4 linked regions of the Rattus norvegicus genome follow. The protein of the gene in region 2 interacts with the protein of the main gene of each other region in a pairwise test. Links are inferred from orthologs where the notes say so. Each region holds a gene or a part of one and is shown on either strand. Other genes may lie near its edges.

Region 1 (3,565 bases), on a different chromosome or scaffold from region 2:
CTCTTGGATCACCTGGGCTTGGACCTAAGACAGAGTGCAGAGCAAAACACAACAGCAGTAAACCATGAAGCACAACAGCCACAGACTCTAATGTTTTATTAATTGTGAGCATCACTGAAACTGGCTTAAGACTGGCAACTGTGCCTCAACTCCCTAATCTGCTTCAGGTGAGACAGTCTACATCTCTGACATCAAAGGCCTAAAAAGGTGGCAAATATATCTAGGAAATCAGCTGTAAAATCTGACTTAAGAGGCTGGAAATACAGTAAGGTCTATGTGTGTACAGTGATTTCTACTGCAAAAAAATACATCGACGTCTTCCAAGAGAACCAGGAGACAGAACAGGCACTGTGAGTACTTTTTACACATGAGAAAACCACAGCAGCCTTAGGCCATACAAGCAGCAATTGTAATACAAGGCTTCAAACATGACTTCAACTTTTATTTCTCACTGCCAAATAAAAAGCTGCCTTTTCCACAAAAGTCTGAGAAAGGTGCAAAATGATGAGACCAGGCCAGTTCCACCCAGCAGACAGAAGGCAGTGGTCCTCTGTCTTCACTGACACTCTTGACCGTCAGTCAGCACTCCTGGGCCCCAGCCCCAACAGAAGGGAAGAGATGACACAAGGCTACATCACTTCCTTCAGCTCAGCTGGGCTAAAAGGTTGCTCATGCGCTACAATTAACCCTCACTCCTTGGATCAATAAATCACAAGCCTTGCTTAAACAGTTGTTCTGCTGGGCTCTTTAAGATCTGAGCCTGGAGGACAGAGCTTCACCAACCAGTGTTCAAGAAGTGCTTCTGGAAGCTGAGGGTAACTTCACTTCTGCCCCTGGTGGTTGTGACTGTGGACAGTAGAGATAATTATGCCTGCCTACTCTACCTGTTCTTACTTCCTCCCTAACCCACAAAGAGGGGCTGGGCTCCAAACCTTCTGGGGCAGCTGTTGTTGTGTGGCTTGCTGCTGCTGCTGCATAACCTTGGGGATGGCAGCTGAGGGTTCCTGAGCCTTCCCCTCCTTGAACTCGCTGACCTTGTGGCGGTAGTAGGCATGGTAAGGGTCATTGGGATTTAAGAAATTGAACTTGGGGTTGTTGATCTCATTCTGTCGAATCCTAGCTTCAAACTCAGGCCCATTTCTGTAAAAAAATTAAAATAAGAGAATACAACAAAGAATGAATCCCACAATCTGTGACTACTCGGACCCAAATCTCCTTCTATTTCACTACCTTTGTCACCATCCACTCACCAAACCAGTCCATCCCTCAGGATAGCAGAACTGCTCCTTGAGCATCTAGGAATCAGTCAGCGTCATCTGACAATGTGAGCCTGGCTGCTTCCAACACAGCCATTCCTTACCCCACCCCCCACTTCTGTAATACCCACAATCGGCTGAGCAATTGCTTAGTTCTTGTAACATTTATTTTTTTGGCTGAGAATGTGGCATAAGTGTAGAGTGCTTATCTAAGGTCCACAAGACCCTGGATTTGGTACCAAGCTCCTTAAAAACAAAAGGGAAAAAACCCAAAACAGCTAATAAGTATTAATGCTTTGTTCAGATACTGCCTAAAGTAATTTCATTTATTACTGGGAGGCTCATGAAGGAAAAATTGCTCTGCAAGATTTCCATGTTCTGAACATATACTAGATAAGGCATGGTGTGTGGCTGAGTGGGCAAAGATCTTTGCTGACAAGATGGACACTCTTATGTTTGACCTCCTGGTTCTACTTGGTAAAAGGGAGAACTGACTCTCACCAAGATGTACTCTGATCCATGTGTATGTGTATGTGTGTGTTCATGTCATGTATACAGATATATATCCACACTATATCCACACTAAAGGAATGCCATCCTCCAGGATAATGAAAGAATATTTGGAGAATCCTGATTTTTAAAGTTCCAGTAGATAAAACTCGAGGCCGTAGTTTTTTCTTTTATTTGTTGAGATACAGTCTCACAAGTCCAGGCTAAGGATTGGCCCTGAACTCCTGATTTGCCTGCCTTTATTTCTAGGTACAGTTAAGTGTGCCACCAAACCTAGCTTCAAGTATCACACTTACATATAACATCTGTGTCAGCTAAAAGGCACACAAGCCTTAAAAGGCACGAGATACGGACACCTTCAGTGTCACGTTCACTAGTTTCACATACAGCAGGATTCCACAGGGTTTGTTGCTTTGACTTTCCCAAATGTCAAATGTGGCTAATACCACTTTTCCACTGTATTTTCAAATACTGAAAAGGTTTACTAAAGTAGCATTTAAACAGATGCTCAGGACTCTTGAATACAATGCCCACAAACACAGAGGACAGTTACTACTGTGGAACGTAGAAGGGGCAGTTCCACCAACACTGGAGATGACTGGCCTATCAGGAAATGCCCATGGGGCTTTCCCGGATTCTCTGGCCAAAAGCCTGCATTCAGAGGTGTCCCAAGCCAAGGCTCCAGGTACTCGTGCCAGACAAGCCACTCTTTCTCTAGACTTTCATACCCCTGGCTCTGTCAATTAAACAGAGCAGAAGACAAGATGCAGGCAACTTTATGGTTAAGAAAGCCATCACAACAAATCTATGACACAGGCTTAGCCTCTAGCAAATTCTGGTTACACCCTGTAGTGTGACTAATACCATGAGGTCTCAATTTGACTGTGTATTAGTCCAAGCAGAACCTCATGCTTTGGAAAGAAGCATTTTCCTACCTCCTATGTAATGCACATCATGCATATACAGGATGGATACAGATTTGGGTCCTGCCAGATCAGGTCACCATGCCTGGAAAATGCCCATGGAGACTACTGGCTTCTAGAAAAATAGGTCTGGTTGTCTCTTGCAGTACTGCCTCCTAAGCCATGGGTCTCTACACATCAGGGAACGCTTAAAAAGACATGCAAAGGCAGATGTACTTATTCCAAGAAATTCCAGCGCTCTAAGTTGGCTTCCTGTTAATTTTAGAATTAGCTCCTCCAACACAAGAAACAGATTTCAGCAGAAGAGCCTGACTGTCATGTAGTCCAGCTGGCAGAGCCTTTTGAAGGTAATTTCATCTACAGAGAAAATGCTCCTTTTACTCGGTCAGACTTGGCTGCAGACACCCACTGCCTGCCTCCTGAGCATGTGGCCTAGCAGAGACCTGAATACCGGCTCTCTCCAAGACCAAGATTGTGACCTGTCCCTTCACTGTAAAGCATGAGAAGGTAGGGGAAGAACATGCACATGTTTATGGTCAGGTCACGTGGAGACCAGAGGCCAACACTGAGTAAGTACCCTCCTCTATCACTGTCATTCTCATTCTTTGATGCAGGGTCTTGCACTGAACCTGGAGCTCACCACTATGGTTATGTTAGCAAGCCGGCCAATCAGCAAGCTCTGAGGAGTGGCCTACCTTTACTTGTGTTGCAAACATTACCCCATTGAGCCATCTCAAGGTCAGATTTCAGAATTCCTACAAAAATGATCACCAAGGATAAAAACCCATCTGGAAACATGGTGAGATGTTTACACTACTAGAAACAGAACTCATGTCCTATACATGGAGACATATACTCACTCTACCACTAAGCTAC
Region 2 (4,365 bases):
GGACATATATAAAACTTCCATTAATGACCTTGGATTTTAAGTAATTTTGAGGTTTAACTTTTAATCTACTGTGGACTGTAACCTAATTTTTAAAATTCTGCCACCACCACTTCACTTCCAATCAAACAGCAAACCCTTCCCAGCAGAGTCCTTTAGTGGTGGTAAATTACAAGAGCCTTTGTTTTAAGAGAGCTCTCTAAAAACCAAACAAGAAAGGATACTGAAGGGAAGGATTGGATTCAACAAAATGGGTGAACTGTAAATACTTTCCGAGCCACTTTTTGCTTAAACTATTTTGTACCTATAAAAAACAAAACCACAATTTTAGGGAAAGGGAACTATGACATTATGGTGAGAGATCATGCTACAAAAAAGCAACTGGTTTACAATACCTGCAGTGTTCTCCACTGGGGCCCGTACAGAGAGGCAGATAGCATTCACCTCATCAATGAGCAAGAACAGCAGCTGAGAAGTGGGCTGCTGAGCTAAGGCCTACTTGCTGCGAAGAGCAAGCCCAAACAAGAAGCTACGAATGCAGGACTGGCCAAGCAAATCACAGTTTACATAGTTATGAAAGCATAGCTCATCGCACCTGTTCCCAAGACTAAAATCTCAGACTTTCCACAGGTTTGTCACTCAGAATAAGCAGTAACAATCTGAAAATTGCACCTGGATGCAGAACGTGTATTTACCTATATAAGCTCTTTCTTGTTCCCGAGTCAGGCCAGGGGGGATAACCGTAGGCATGCCTGGAATCACTGTCTTCTGTTCCATTGTGTCTTGGTTCCATCGGCTCCTCTTCCTCTTCTTACTTGGGAAGTCTAAAGACAGACAGAGTCTATCAGGTGGAAATATGAACCAGAAGAGTGACTACCAGCAAGCAGTTCACAATAAGACTAAACAGAAATCACCTAAAGTTTAAAAAGGAAAGAAATCTCAGAGGTCAGAGAAATCAAGCAGCCATTATAAAGGTTTTTGGTCCTCCTGTCAGAAAAGTTACGGAATAGTTCACATTTACTTTTTTTCCTAAAAGAACTAAAGAATGTAATAAGGTGTAAATTCCTTTTGTGGTGTTGGCAACGTCAAAGTCTTTACATATGCTGGGTAAGAGCTCTTCCACTGAAGCACATCTCCAATTCTTTGGGTCTTTTGTTTGGTTGTTTTTTGAGACAAGAGTTCCTTTACAGAACCCAGGCTGACATAAACTATGCAGACCAGAGATTCACCTGCCTCTACCTCCAGAGTGCTAGGATTAAAAGCATGAGCCATTATACCCTTGCTTCTAAGTCTTAATGTACAGAAACCCAGAATGGAAGCATTGAGCATATACATATGATCAATTCTAAATGTCTTAAAGGACAGAAAAGACAATAAAGATGAAAATAGGGCCACAAAACATTGAAGTCAAGCTCCAAGAGCAGACAAGTCTCTTGCTACACATTACTGTGGGAAACATCTTGTCCTCCAATATGACTATTCTCACAGGTGGAAAGATCAGCATTCAGTTTTCCTGACCAATGAATGGACACTTGTCATCAGAACTCTGATATTTTACCACTCAAGATTTTCTACTTCTCAGATTACAGGCCCAGAGAAAAAGCCTTTTAAAACAGCACGGGGAAAGCTGGTCACTCTGAGAACCTTCTAGAAAACAAAAGGAGATAAACAGCCTTAATAAATGATCGAACTCAAACATCACTAGCAGCCTTCCGAATTCGCCTCATTGTGAAAGGAGATACTCTTGTCACGGGACTAATCTCCCCTTTCAGGCTCCTAGAACCCATCAAAGGAACCACTCATACCACATCGTTCCGTGGACCTGACCCTCCTGTCCTCCATAGCAGGAGCTCAGGGGGCAACAGGTGGCCGCTTCAAAAACTACCAGAATTGCGCCACAAAGCCTGAACTCCTCACTGCGTCTGCGCAAAGGACGCTTCCTCCCGCCCTTCTACTCCTCATGATGCGCGTGCGCACTCGAAGCCTCCCAAACCAGGCCGCGCGTTCCCTGTGGCGCGTCCGTCCAGGCCTCCCGTGCACGCGCGCGCGTCCTTGCCGCGTACAACCGCGGCGCCGTGCCCCTCCGTCGGCCGGTCCGGTTCGCCCGACGCCTCTCGTGCTCTATCGGCTCAACTCACCTCCGCCGCCACCGGGCTGGCCCGGCTGCAGGTCCTGGCGCGGAGGCGACACTCGCTGAGAGTGCGGCGGCGCGGGGGCGGCTGCTGTGGCGGGTACGAGGTGGCTGGGGGCGGCGGCGGCAGCAGCACCGCCACTAAGGACAAGGCCCTGGTTAGGACCCCCAGCGATCCCACCGGCGGCGGCGGCCCGAACGCCATTAGGCTCGACCCGAAGCTGCCTTTGGGCCCAGGAAGTGGGGAAAGGCCTGGCAGGCCCAGCTTACCCAGCGGCGTGGCGTTCGCTCCGGTCGCCATGGCGCCCCAGGGGACCGGCACCAGCGGTTCCTCGTCCTCCGCGGCGGCTTCTCCTTCACGAACCTTCGCGGGTTGGGGGGAGGGGACCCGACTACGCTCCCGAAGAGCGCGGGGAGCCCGTCCTCTCACGCGGCGGGCGGCGGCGGCGCCAGACGCACAAAGAGGGAGGAGAGAGGACGCCGCGGGGGCGGGTTGGGGGCGGCGGGGCCGCGGCCTGGATTGGGCCGGCCCGAGGTGAGGTCGGAGTCAGCGGCCTCCGATTGGCGGAGCACTAGTTCTTTTCAATACGCGTCGGGATTGGCCGAACCGTTAGGCCAGGCGACGAAATGGCGGCGGGGCCGAGTGAACTGGGAGGTGTCGCAGCGCGCACTTCTTGTTACTGCGCGGACTGAGCTCTGAGGCCAGAGTGGCGGGGGATAGGATGGGGCAAAGTCTATGACGTAGAGAGAACGTTTAGCTCATTGGCTAAAGAGGATGGAGGTAAGCGCCTCGGCGTCGTAGTGCCACGGGATTGGCTGAAACGACTCCCTTCCCCCAGGGATCAGTCGCTCGGGAAGGGAGAAGCCGGAACGAAGGCGGAGGGCAGGAGGTACGCATGCGTAGGGAGGGCACGCGGTCTCTCCGCCCCTTACACCAGGGGGACCAGAACGGAAGCCCTAAGTGACGTTAGTCATTGTGTTAGAGGTAAGGAGGGACCACGGGGAAGGGGTGGGCTCGAGTTGACGAACCTGATAGGTCGACGCCGCAGGTAGAGAAGAACTTCCTGTTTTCTCTGGAAACTAGTGTTACAGAATGACTAAAATAGGGTAGTTGCGTAAGTTTAAAGATTTTATTTCCGGTCTTGGTGGCTCATACCTTTAATCCCAGTACTCAGGAGGCAAAGGCTAATTTCTGTAAGAAAATACCTGGTGATGGAACAGCACTTTCATCCTCAGATGAAAGACAACGTAGCCAAGTAGTAGCCTGTCACCGAGAACTTGAGAGGTGGATACGGGAGAACATGAGTTTGTGGCTAGCCTGGGGTACAGAATATCTGTCTCAAGAAAGTTTAAAAAAAAAAAAAAGGTTCAATGGCACCTGCCTGTAATTCTAATTCTTATAAAGTAAAATTAGGAGCTCAAAGTTATTAGAATGAGAGAAAGTCAATTCAGAAGTTAAGTGTGCACTTCCATCGAAATCTCAGTGTGTTGGGAATGTGATTAAGTTACCTTAAAATTACATACCCATGAAAATGGAAGGGAACTTGTAAATGAAACTGAGGCCAAACATGCCTTTCCATAAAATAAATGTAAAAATAATGAAAACACTTCTTGCCAGAAAAAAACAGGCTAGTGCAACATAATAGAACTTAGAATAGATAGGATTCTCAGAAAGCAAGCTATTTCAACCCAGTAGGGGGAAAGATGTTTAAAAATAATTAGAGTGGCTAGAGAAATAGCTTATCAAATAAGAGCATGCACTGGCTACTCTTCAGAATCCAGGTTTGATTCTTGTAATCCACATGGTGACTCACAACCATCTGTAACCTCAGTCCCAGGGCATCAATCCAAAGCCCTATTCTGGCCTTACAGGCACTGCATGCATATGGAGCATAGACTTACATGCACACAAAACACTCAAATATATAAGACATAAATATATTTTTTTAAATGATGTAGAAAAATCTGAAGACATGTAGAAACCAGGGTAATCTAGGAATTGAGAGACTACAAAGACAAACTCAAGTCCGGTGGGTGGTACAAGTCAACAGACTATGACAGATAGGGAGGAAATGGTCCTACAATAGAGAAAGAACAAATGTCTGGGCTGAAAATACAATTCCAGAGCTCTTGCCTGGCATAGGCAACTCCCAAACTCCACCTGCAGACCTGTAAAAGTGGAAGAAAAACCAACTGTCTAATACCCAAAGAGCCTTTAAAACTAAGTAGAGGGGGGG
Region 3 (3,565 bases), on a different chromosome or scaffold from region 2:
GTAACTTCACTTGGCTCAAAAATAGGAAAGGAAGCCAGGTGTAGTGGCCCAAGCCTTTAATCCTAGCACTCAGGAGACAGAGGCAGGTGGATCTCTACATTTGAGGTCTACAGAATGATTTCCAGAACAGCCAGTTACAGAGCAGCCCTGTCTCAAAAAACCAAAACCAAAATATAGTAAAGGAACAGCACTGAAATACTGTAAATATTGTGATTCTAGCAGTCACGAACCCTGCAAAACTTTCAACAATGGTTTCTGTTGTTTTGATTTTGAAACAGGCTGGCCTTGAACACTATGTGGGTGGGATTACAGCCATGAACCACCACACCTGGATACCAGTGGGCTTTCTAAGTTCTTTTTCTAATCCACACAAAGTCTACGCTTTAGGTCTTCAGAGTCTACACATACATTTCCTCAAGTGTGCTATCAATGTGGGATGGAACGAAAACAAGGAAACTCTTGGTGACTGAAGCCATAACCTCAGGCCCAGAGACCATACTAAAACTCACTCAGATTCTAATGCACACTTGTTTCCACATCAAGATGAAGCCTGGGTTGGGGATTTAGCTCAGTGGTAGAGCACTTGCCTAGGAAGCTCGAGGCCCTGGGTTCGGTCCCCAGCTCCGAAAAAAAGACCGCCCCTCCCCCCCAAAAAAGATGAAGCTTACTTTTCTCTTTCCTCTATTTCCTTCTGTCTTTCCAGCTCCCGCTGCCTCTGCCGCTCTTCTCTCTGGCGCTTCACCACTTTCTCATAGTCGTTAGGAAACATTGGGTCATATTCATCAGCCAAGGGGATCAGGACTTCCCCTGCAGAGAACCCACTGGGCACAGGGTCCTGGGGAACAAGAACACCTGAGTGAGTGCCGTATCACATCCTGCAGGGTTATCAGAGAAGCAAAGGTCCCAGGATGAGGCAAGAGAGGCCTTCCAGATTATCTAAGGATCCTTTATTTCCTGGTGAGTTGAGGCCTCCCCTCACCAGATGGCAGCACAACCTGGCAGTTAGGCAAAAGCTTATGTTGGGAAAAGCACTGACAATCACGGTAAGTCTTAAGTGAGGTTTAAACTGGCATCTGAGTGACATCTGTACATGTGAAAATGGATTACCATTTTCCAGACTTCCCGTGCTCCCTCCAGAGTCTCACAGTGCTACAGACACATAGCCAAGGATGACATGAACAACTCCCAAGCCTTCGGCTTCATAATAGGAGCCCGTTCTATTAACAACATGCAGCATTACGCCCCCCCCCCCCCTTTTGCCTTTCTTTAAAATGACTTCTAACACTGGTAACAGACAGTTAGAAATAACCTTACGGTTTACATTAGAAGAATGAAGTTATAGCTAATCCACTGGAGGCAATCCACTGAAACTATTAACACTGGCCATACAGGGACTGGAGATAGGCATTAATAAAGTCACTGACTGGCTTTCCAGAGGACTCAGGTCTCACTCCCATCACACATACAGTGGCCCCCAACTGTCCCACCACCATCCTAGGGATGCATCCGCACAGGCAAGAGGAACACATGCAGTGTACTGAAACATGAGGACAACACACTCACACACTCATAAAAGTATGTTTAAATGACCGTGTAGTTCTATTGTTTTGAAAAGGAGAAATGGACAATCACTAAACACAAATTAGAGAGCAGAAGGCCGAGAAGTTACAGAAAGATATTCTAAAATTATGTAATTTTGTAATGCATAGAAGGTATGTATGATTAAAAAGATAGACTTTTCATTTTTACCCATCTTTCATTCCTGAAGTTTCCATAATAAACTATTTTAGGTAATAATACTAGCTTTCAGTGGCCTACTGAAGAGACCCTTGTGGGGGCTGGAGATGGACAGAGGTTTACAGTGCTTACTGCTCTATCAGAGGATGGCTGGGAACTCGGTTATCAGCACCCACACAAGGTTCACAAATGCCTAACTCCAGCCCTAAGAGATCTAAGGCCTCCTCTGGCCTCCATGGGTGTGTGCATGAGTGAGCAAGCACGCTCAAGCACTCGCGCGCGCACACGCACACACACGCGCACACACACACACACATGAGATAAATCTCATAAAGAGAGGAACATACATGTAAAATAAAGAAACGTGGAAAATGCTTCAAACCACAGGTGGGTACGGCTTACCTTCAGCCCAGCTGCCACATGAGGTGGCGTGTCTACGATCTGTCGGTCATCTGAGGAGCCTCCTCGCTTCAGGTCGATGACTGGAGCGAGGACTGTACTTTGCTTTGTCCTTTGGCTCTGACACCAGAAACAAGAAAAATGCACCAAACATCCAAATTAAAATTCATGGTACTTGCAACAAAGACACCTTTTCTGGTCTCTGTAACAAACCTTTGGCTGAGATAAAATCATCCTTAAAGCAGTTAAGAGTCTAACACAATCAGTGTGCTTACTGTTTGCTGAGGGGTCTTAGGGAGCCCAGGCTGCCTCCAGTGCCCTCTGCAGCCGATGATGAACCTGGACTCCTGTTCTCCTCCCTCCACCGCTGAGTGCTGACTGAGCAGCAGACCCAGTTTATACACAGGGGCTTCAACACAGGCCTTCCTGGAAACTAGGCAAACACTCCCAACTGAGCTACAGCTTCATTCCCTTTTGCTCTTTTTTAAAAGCAGATTTCCTCTATCTATACAGTTTATAGTAAGTGTGGCCACTTTATGGCTGGCCTTAAACTTACAGACCTACCTGTCTGTCTCCAGAGGGCAAGCCCTATCCTACTTCTTTTAGAATGACTACCCCAACCAGACAACAATTATTCAATCTGTCTGTCTGCCTGTCTATATGTATGTTTGTATGCATGCATACTTGGGTGTGCATGCATGTGTGAGGGCCGGGTCTCTTCTTACACTATAGGGTTCTAGGGATCCAACTTGGGTCATCAGGCGTTGTCACTCACCGAGCCGCCTCACCACCCCTCCCTGTTTCCTAAACGTGCTTTTGATTTCCAAATCTTCAGCACACACCACCTCCATCTTCTTTGTTTTTCTCTGGGACACTGTTATTACAAGTGCTGCTACATATGTCTCCCTAACTTACAGCTCTAAGTTCTAGCAGATCTAAAACCTGTTTAGGTTGAGGTTAAAGGTAGTAGACAAGAATATCGTACAGCAAGCTGGTGAACACCACCAAATCCTCAGGTTGCCAGGATGCCATGGCAGATCATGCGGACGGACTGACGGTGATCACCAAAGTTTAACTTCTCGGTTTTAAAATTTAAAGTGGTACAAACTTTCATTCTTATCAGGAAGTCTGAGCTCTCTGGATTTTAATGGTGCTCTAGGCAAACAGCATATCATCAAGGTATTATATACAAAACCACAATATAAACCCTAACTTTCCATAATGGGCATTATGTCAATCACTTATTTAGTCATTTTAAAATTTAATTTTTCAAAAATGAAATACAAATGAAATCAAACCTTCACCTTTCAGATACAGGTAAATTTTTCCATACCAAGTATTTTTAAAAGTTTGGTTAGTACTCTGAGAAATTCACCAAAGAGCCCAAGAGAAACAATACAATGTAACTTCACTTCCTCATAAGAAATCA
Region 4 (3,565 bases), on a different chromosome or scaffold from region 2:
TCTTAATGTTGCCACCCTTTAATACAATTCCTCCTGTTGTGGTGAACCCAACTGTATAATTCTTTTGTTGCTACTTTGTAACTGCAATTTTGCTACTGTTATGAATCATGTTGTAAATATTTGTATTTCCTGATGGACTTAGGTGACCCCTGTGAAAGGGTCCTTTGACCCGCAAAGGGGTGGAGACTCACATGTGAGGACCACTTTTCTAGAAGCATTAACTTCATCCTTTTGCTGCAGTTAGTTGTAGAGTAGACTTTTGAAAAGGAGACGTGGGTCTTGCCTGATAGTTCTGACCGGTCTGGTAGTCACTGTGTAGACTGTGGAACTCTTGTCAGTCTTTCTACCTCAGCCCCTCAAGCAGAGTCTCTTAGAATATGGAAACTGTTTTCCTTCATACTGGTTTTCAAATGCTACTGTTGCTTCTTTGTATATTATTTTCTTTTTATATATTTCTCCCAATTCTGAAGTCTATAATGATAAATGTTGTTTTTTTTTTAAATTATTCATTGTGGTAGGCTTAATTAAACAATTCTTTGAAATCAGACAGCAAACTTTATAGATGATCTTGATTGCTCTTTTCTTCCTTTTAAACTCTCCTGCTGTACTTAATTTCTGAGTGTGTGTAAAGCTTTGCTAGCTTGTGTCTTCTTTCCTTGTAATTTACATATTTCCCTCCCTTACCATAACCTCCCCTTCCTCTTTTCTTTCTTTCATTTCTTTTTTTGTAAGCACTGGCTACGTTGCTTATGTAGCCCTGACTGGACTAGAATTGTCTACATAGAGCAGTCCTGCCTTCCTCTGTCCTGAATGCTGGGATTAAAGTGCGTGCCACTACACCCACCACAACAGGGTTTTATTTTTGAGGTTACAGGCATGGAAAAGCCTCACTCTGTCACTTTTCTGTGTCTTATAGAAAGGTCATATTTTTTTTTAGTTTGCAAAATTTTATTGACTATACAAGGAAAATTAGCATGTTAATTTTTTGTTGTAAATGACTACACAGTTCTAAATTAGTGAACTGAACCAATTAATATTTTGAAGTGTGGATAATAGTTAACTCTTGAATATTTGCTGTACCAGGTACCATTCTAAGCATTTTTGTGGAGGTAGTCTCCTTGTGTAGCTCTGGCTGGCCAGGCTAGCCTTGAACTCACAAAGATTGATATGCTTCTCTCTCCCGAGGGCCCAGCTCCATTCTAAGCATTTTATAAATTCCTTGTCCTAGTCCTTATCCAGAGTTGCATAGGTGGTTGACATCACCTGAACCAGTAATTTTGAAAGTGTGTTCTGTAGAGTTTCAGGGTCTAGCTGCGTCTGACACTGCTTTTATCGCTCCGCATTCCTAAACTTTTGAGCTGATTGTCCAATATGGTGGCCACTTGTTACAGTTAATTTTTAGCTAGTTCAGATTGTGACGAGTGGTGCAAGCTTAGTAGTAGGCTTTGAAGACATAGACAATATAAAGTATTGCCTCGGAAAATTAATGAGGCTTTAAAAGACACTGTTCATATAGTCATCCTTTGCTGTCATTGACTCCTGGAGATTGACAGCTCTAGAGCCCTCTATACACTGTCCTTGAAGACTGTTAAGATGAAGTGTCCGATCATTTTGATAGCGTTTGATAGCGTCTTTGTCATTTTTTCCTGAAGAAATGTTAAGACTGCCTTCTGCCTGAAACAGGTGTTGAAAGAGATGGCTTCAACATGCCCAAAGTTGTTCTCATCCCTGTGGGTTGTTGTTGTCGTCGTCGTCGTCGTCGTCATCATCACCACCACCACATTTATTTCATGCAGTATCAGGTTTCTCTTGAGAACTGGCATAGATAGTGTGGTAGTTAATTGATTCAACTGTAAGGTTGTAGAGAAAGAATTCTAAAGTCTTTCTCACTAGGAAACACACTAAAGGCAGCACAAACAAAGCTTTAGAACTAAAAAGGTGTTGAATTCCTTTGTGTTAAAATTATGTGACTAACATTCTTATACTTTTCAGTTATTCAAGAGAAGAAATGTTGCTACAGCAGAAGAAGAAACAGAAGAAGAAGTTATGTCTGATGGTGGCTTTCATGAGGCCCAGATAAATAACATGGAGATGGCACCAGTAAGTATGATGGTAAAAAGAACTCTTTGGTGGTGTTGTGATGAGATGTTGGGATTTTTCCTTTTTTAGTTTAATAGAAAGGGTAAGTTAGGGCTGGAGAGATGGCTCAGCAGTTAAGAGCTCTGTCTGCTCTTCCAGAAGTCCTGCGTTCAAATCCCAGTAACCTCATGGTGGTCCTCAACCATCTCTAATAGAATCTGATGCCCTCTTCTGCTGTGTCTGAAGACAGTGACAGTGTACTCACATACATAAAATAAATAAATATCTTTAAAAAAAAAAAGGTTAAGTTAATTGGGCATGGTGATGTCTGTAATCCTAGTACTGGGGAATCTGAGGAAAGAGGATAGTTCCGGGCCCTCGTTGACCTCATAGATACTGTTTTAAAACAAAACAAAACTATAAAGCACACGTGTTGAAACATCTCGTTGTACTTTATAATGTATACAGTGAAGGGCGTATGCTGTACAGAAAGTACATCATAGGAAGCACAGAAAGGTGAGAGGGTTCAGTGCGAAAGGCCTGAGTTCACTCTCTGACTCATGTGGTGGTGGAGCGTGAGAACTGACTCCCTTGTCTTGACCACCACATGCAACTGTGGCATGGGCACCCTCCCCAGAGTTGTCATCATAGAACCAACATACATTTGAAAAACTGGATTCTGTATCAGATAGTTTTGTTACAACTTTCTTGGGGGTTGCATAAAAGATACAGAAATTATGCAGAAATGGATCAGATCTGTTGAGTGTCTGTGCATCATAATTAAGTAATTTTAATTATATTAAATATGCTATGCATTTATGAAAATGTCATTAAAAATCCTTTTATAATGAGCAATTAGTATATGTGTTTTTTCTTTTCTTTTTTTCTTTTTCTTTTTTCTTATTTCTGTTCTTCTGAGACAGGGTTTCTTTGTGAAACTCTGACTGTCCAAGAACTAACTTACTCTGAACCAGACTGGGCTCGAACTCACAGAGATCCATCTGCCTCTGCCTCCCAAGTGCTAGGATTAAAGGCTTGCACCATCACTGCATGGACAGTCTATACATTGTAAAGATAGGTTTTTTATTTTACCTGTGTGAGTGTTTTGCTTGCATGTGTATTGATGTGTGTGTGCCTGATGCCCCTGGAGGCTGGAGGAAGGTGTGAACTCCTTAGATTGAGAGTTATAGGTGGCTGTGAGCTGCCATGTTGATGATGAGATTGAACTCAGGTCCTCTGCAAGAATGGCAAGTGCCCTTAACTGCTGAATCATCTTTTCAGGCCCCTATTTTGAACTGTTCATATAGTTTAAAAAAATCACATGCATACATCTTTGTGGTAGTGGGGATTTAACTCAGCCTTTTTCAGGCTAGACAAACAGCATTGCCACTGAGCCACACCCCAACTCTGCATATAGCTTTTTTTAAAAACAGCCCTGTATTTGCTATTTCAATCACCAAATATTTTCTTCTCCTAGTAGTCATTA

The links. The genes of interacting proteins can lie anywhere in the genome.
Region 1: the proteins of Sf1 (region 2) and Sf3a1 interact in binary tests that used the Homo sapiens proteins (3 or more experiments, as listed by UniProt). The link is inferred for Rattus norvegicus from reciprocal best matches to the Homo sapiens genes SF1 and SF3A1.
Region 3: the proteins of Sf1 (region 2) and Rbm17 interact in binary tests that used the Homo sapiens proteins (3 or more experiments, as listed by UniProt). The link is inferred for Rattus norvegicus from reciprocal best matches to the Homo sapiens genes SF1 and RBM17.
Region 4: the proteins of Sf1 (region 2) and Kpna1 interact in binary tests that used the Homo sapiens proteins (3 or more experiments, as listed by UniProt). The link is inferred for Rattus norvegicus from reciprocal best matches to the Homo sapiens genes SF1 and KPNA1.

The regions. Positions count from the first base shown.
Region 1 is NC_086032.1:83,257,959-83,261,523, reverse strand, and holds part of Sf3a1 (splicing factor 3A subunit 1), read right to left. Parts: intron 1,141-3,565; coding exon 933-1,140; intron 25-932; coding exon 1-24. UniProt on the Homo sapiens protein: Component of the 17S U2 SnRNP complex of the spliceosome, a large ribonucleoprotein complex that removes introns from transcribed pre-mRNAs.
Region 2 is NC_086019.1:213,097,732-213,102,096, reverse strand, and holds the start of Sf1 (splicing factor 1), read right to left. Parts: upstream 2,817-4,365; 5' UTR 2,430-2,816; coding exon 2,399-2,429; intron 828-2,398; exon of another isoform or gene 822-827; coding exon 693-821; intron 1-692. UniProt on the Homo sapiens protein: Necessary for the ATP-dependent first step of spliceosome assembly. Binds to the intron branch point sequence (BPS) 5'-UACUAAC-3' of the pre-mRNA. May act as transcription repressor.
Region 3 is NC_086035.1:71,849,929-71,853,493, reverse strand, and holds part of Rbm17 (splicing factor 45), read right to left. Parts: intron 2,257-3,565; coding exon 2,140-2,256; intron 836-2,139; coding exon 669-835; intron 1-668. UniProt on the Homo sapiens protein: Splice factor that binds to the single-stranded 3'AG at the exon/intron border and promotes its utilization in the second catalytic step. Involved in the regulation of alternative splicing and the utilization of cryptic splice sites.
Region 4 is NC_086029.1:78,259,579-78,263,143, reverse strand, and holds part of Kpna1 (importin subunit alpha-5), read left to right. Parts: intron 1-1,992; coding exon 1,993-2,100; intron 2,101-3,565. UniProt on the Homo sapiens protein: Functions in nuclear protein import as an adapter protein for nuclear receptor KPNB1. Binds specifically and directly to substrates containing either a simple or bipartite NLS motif.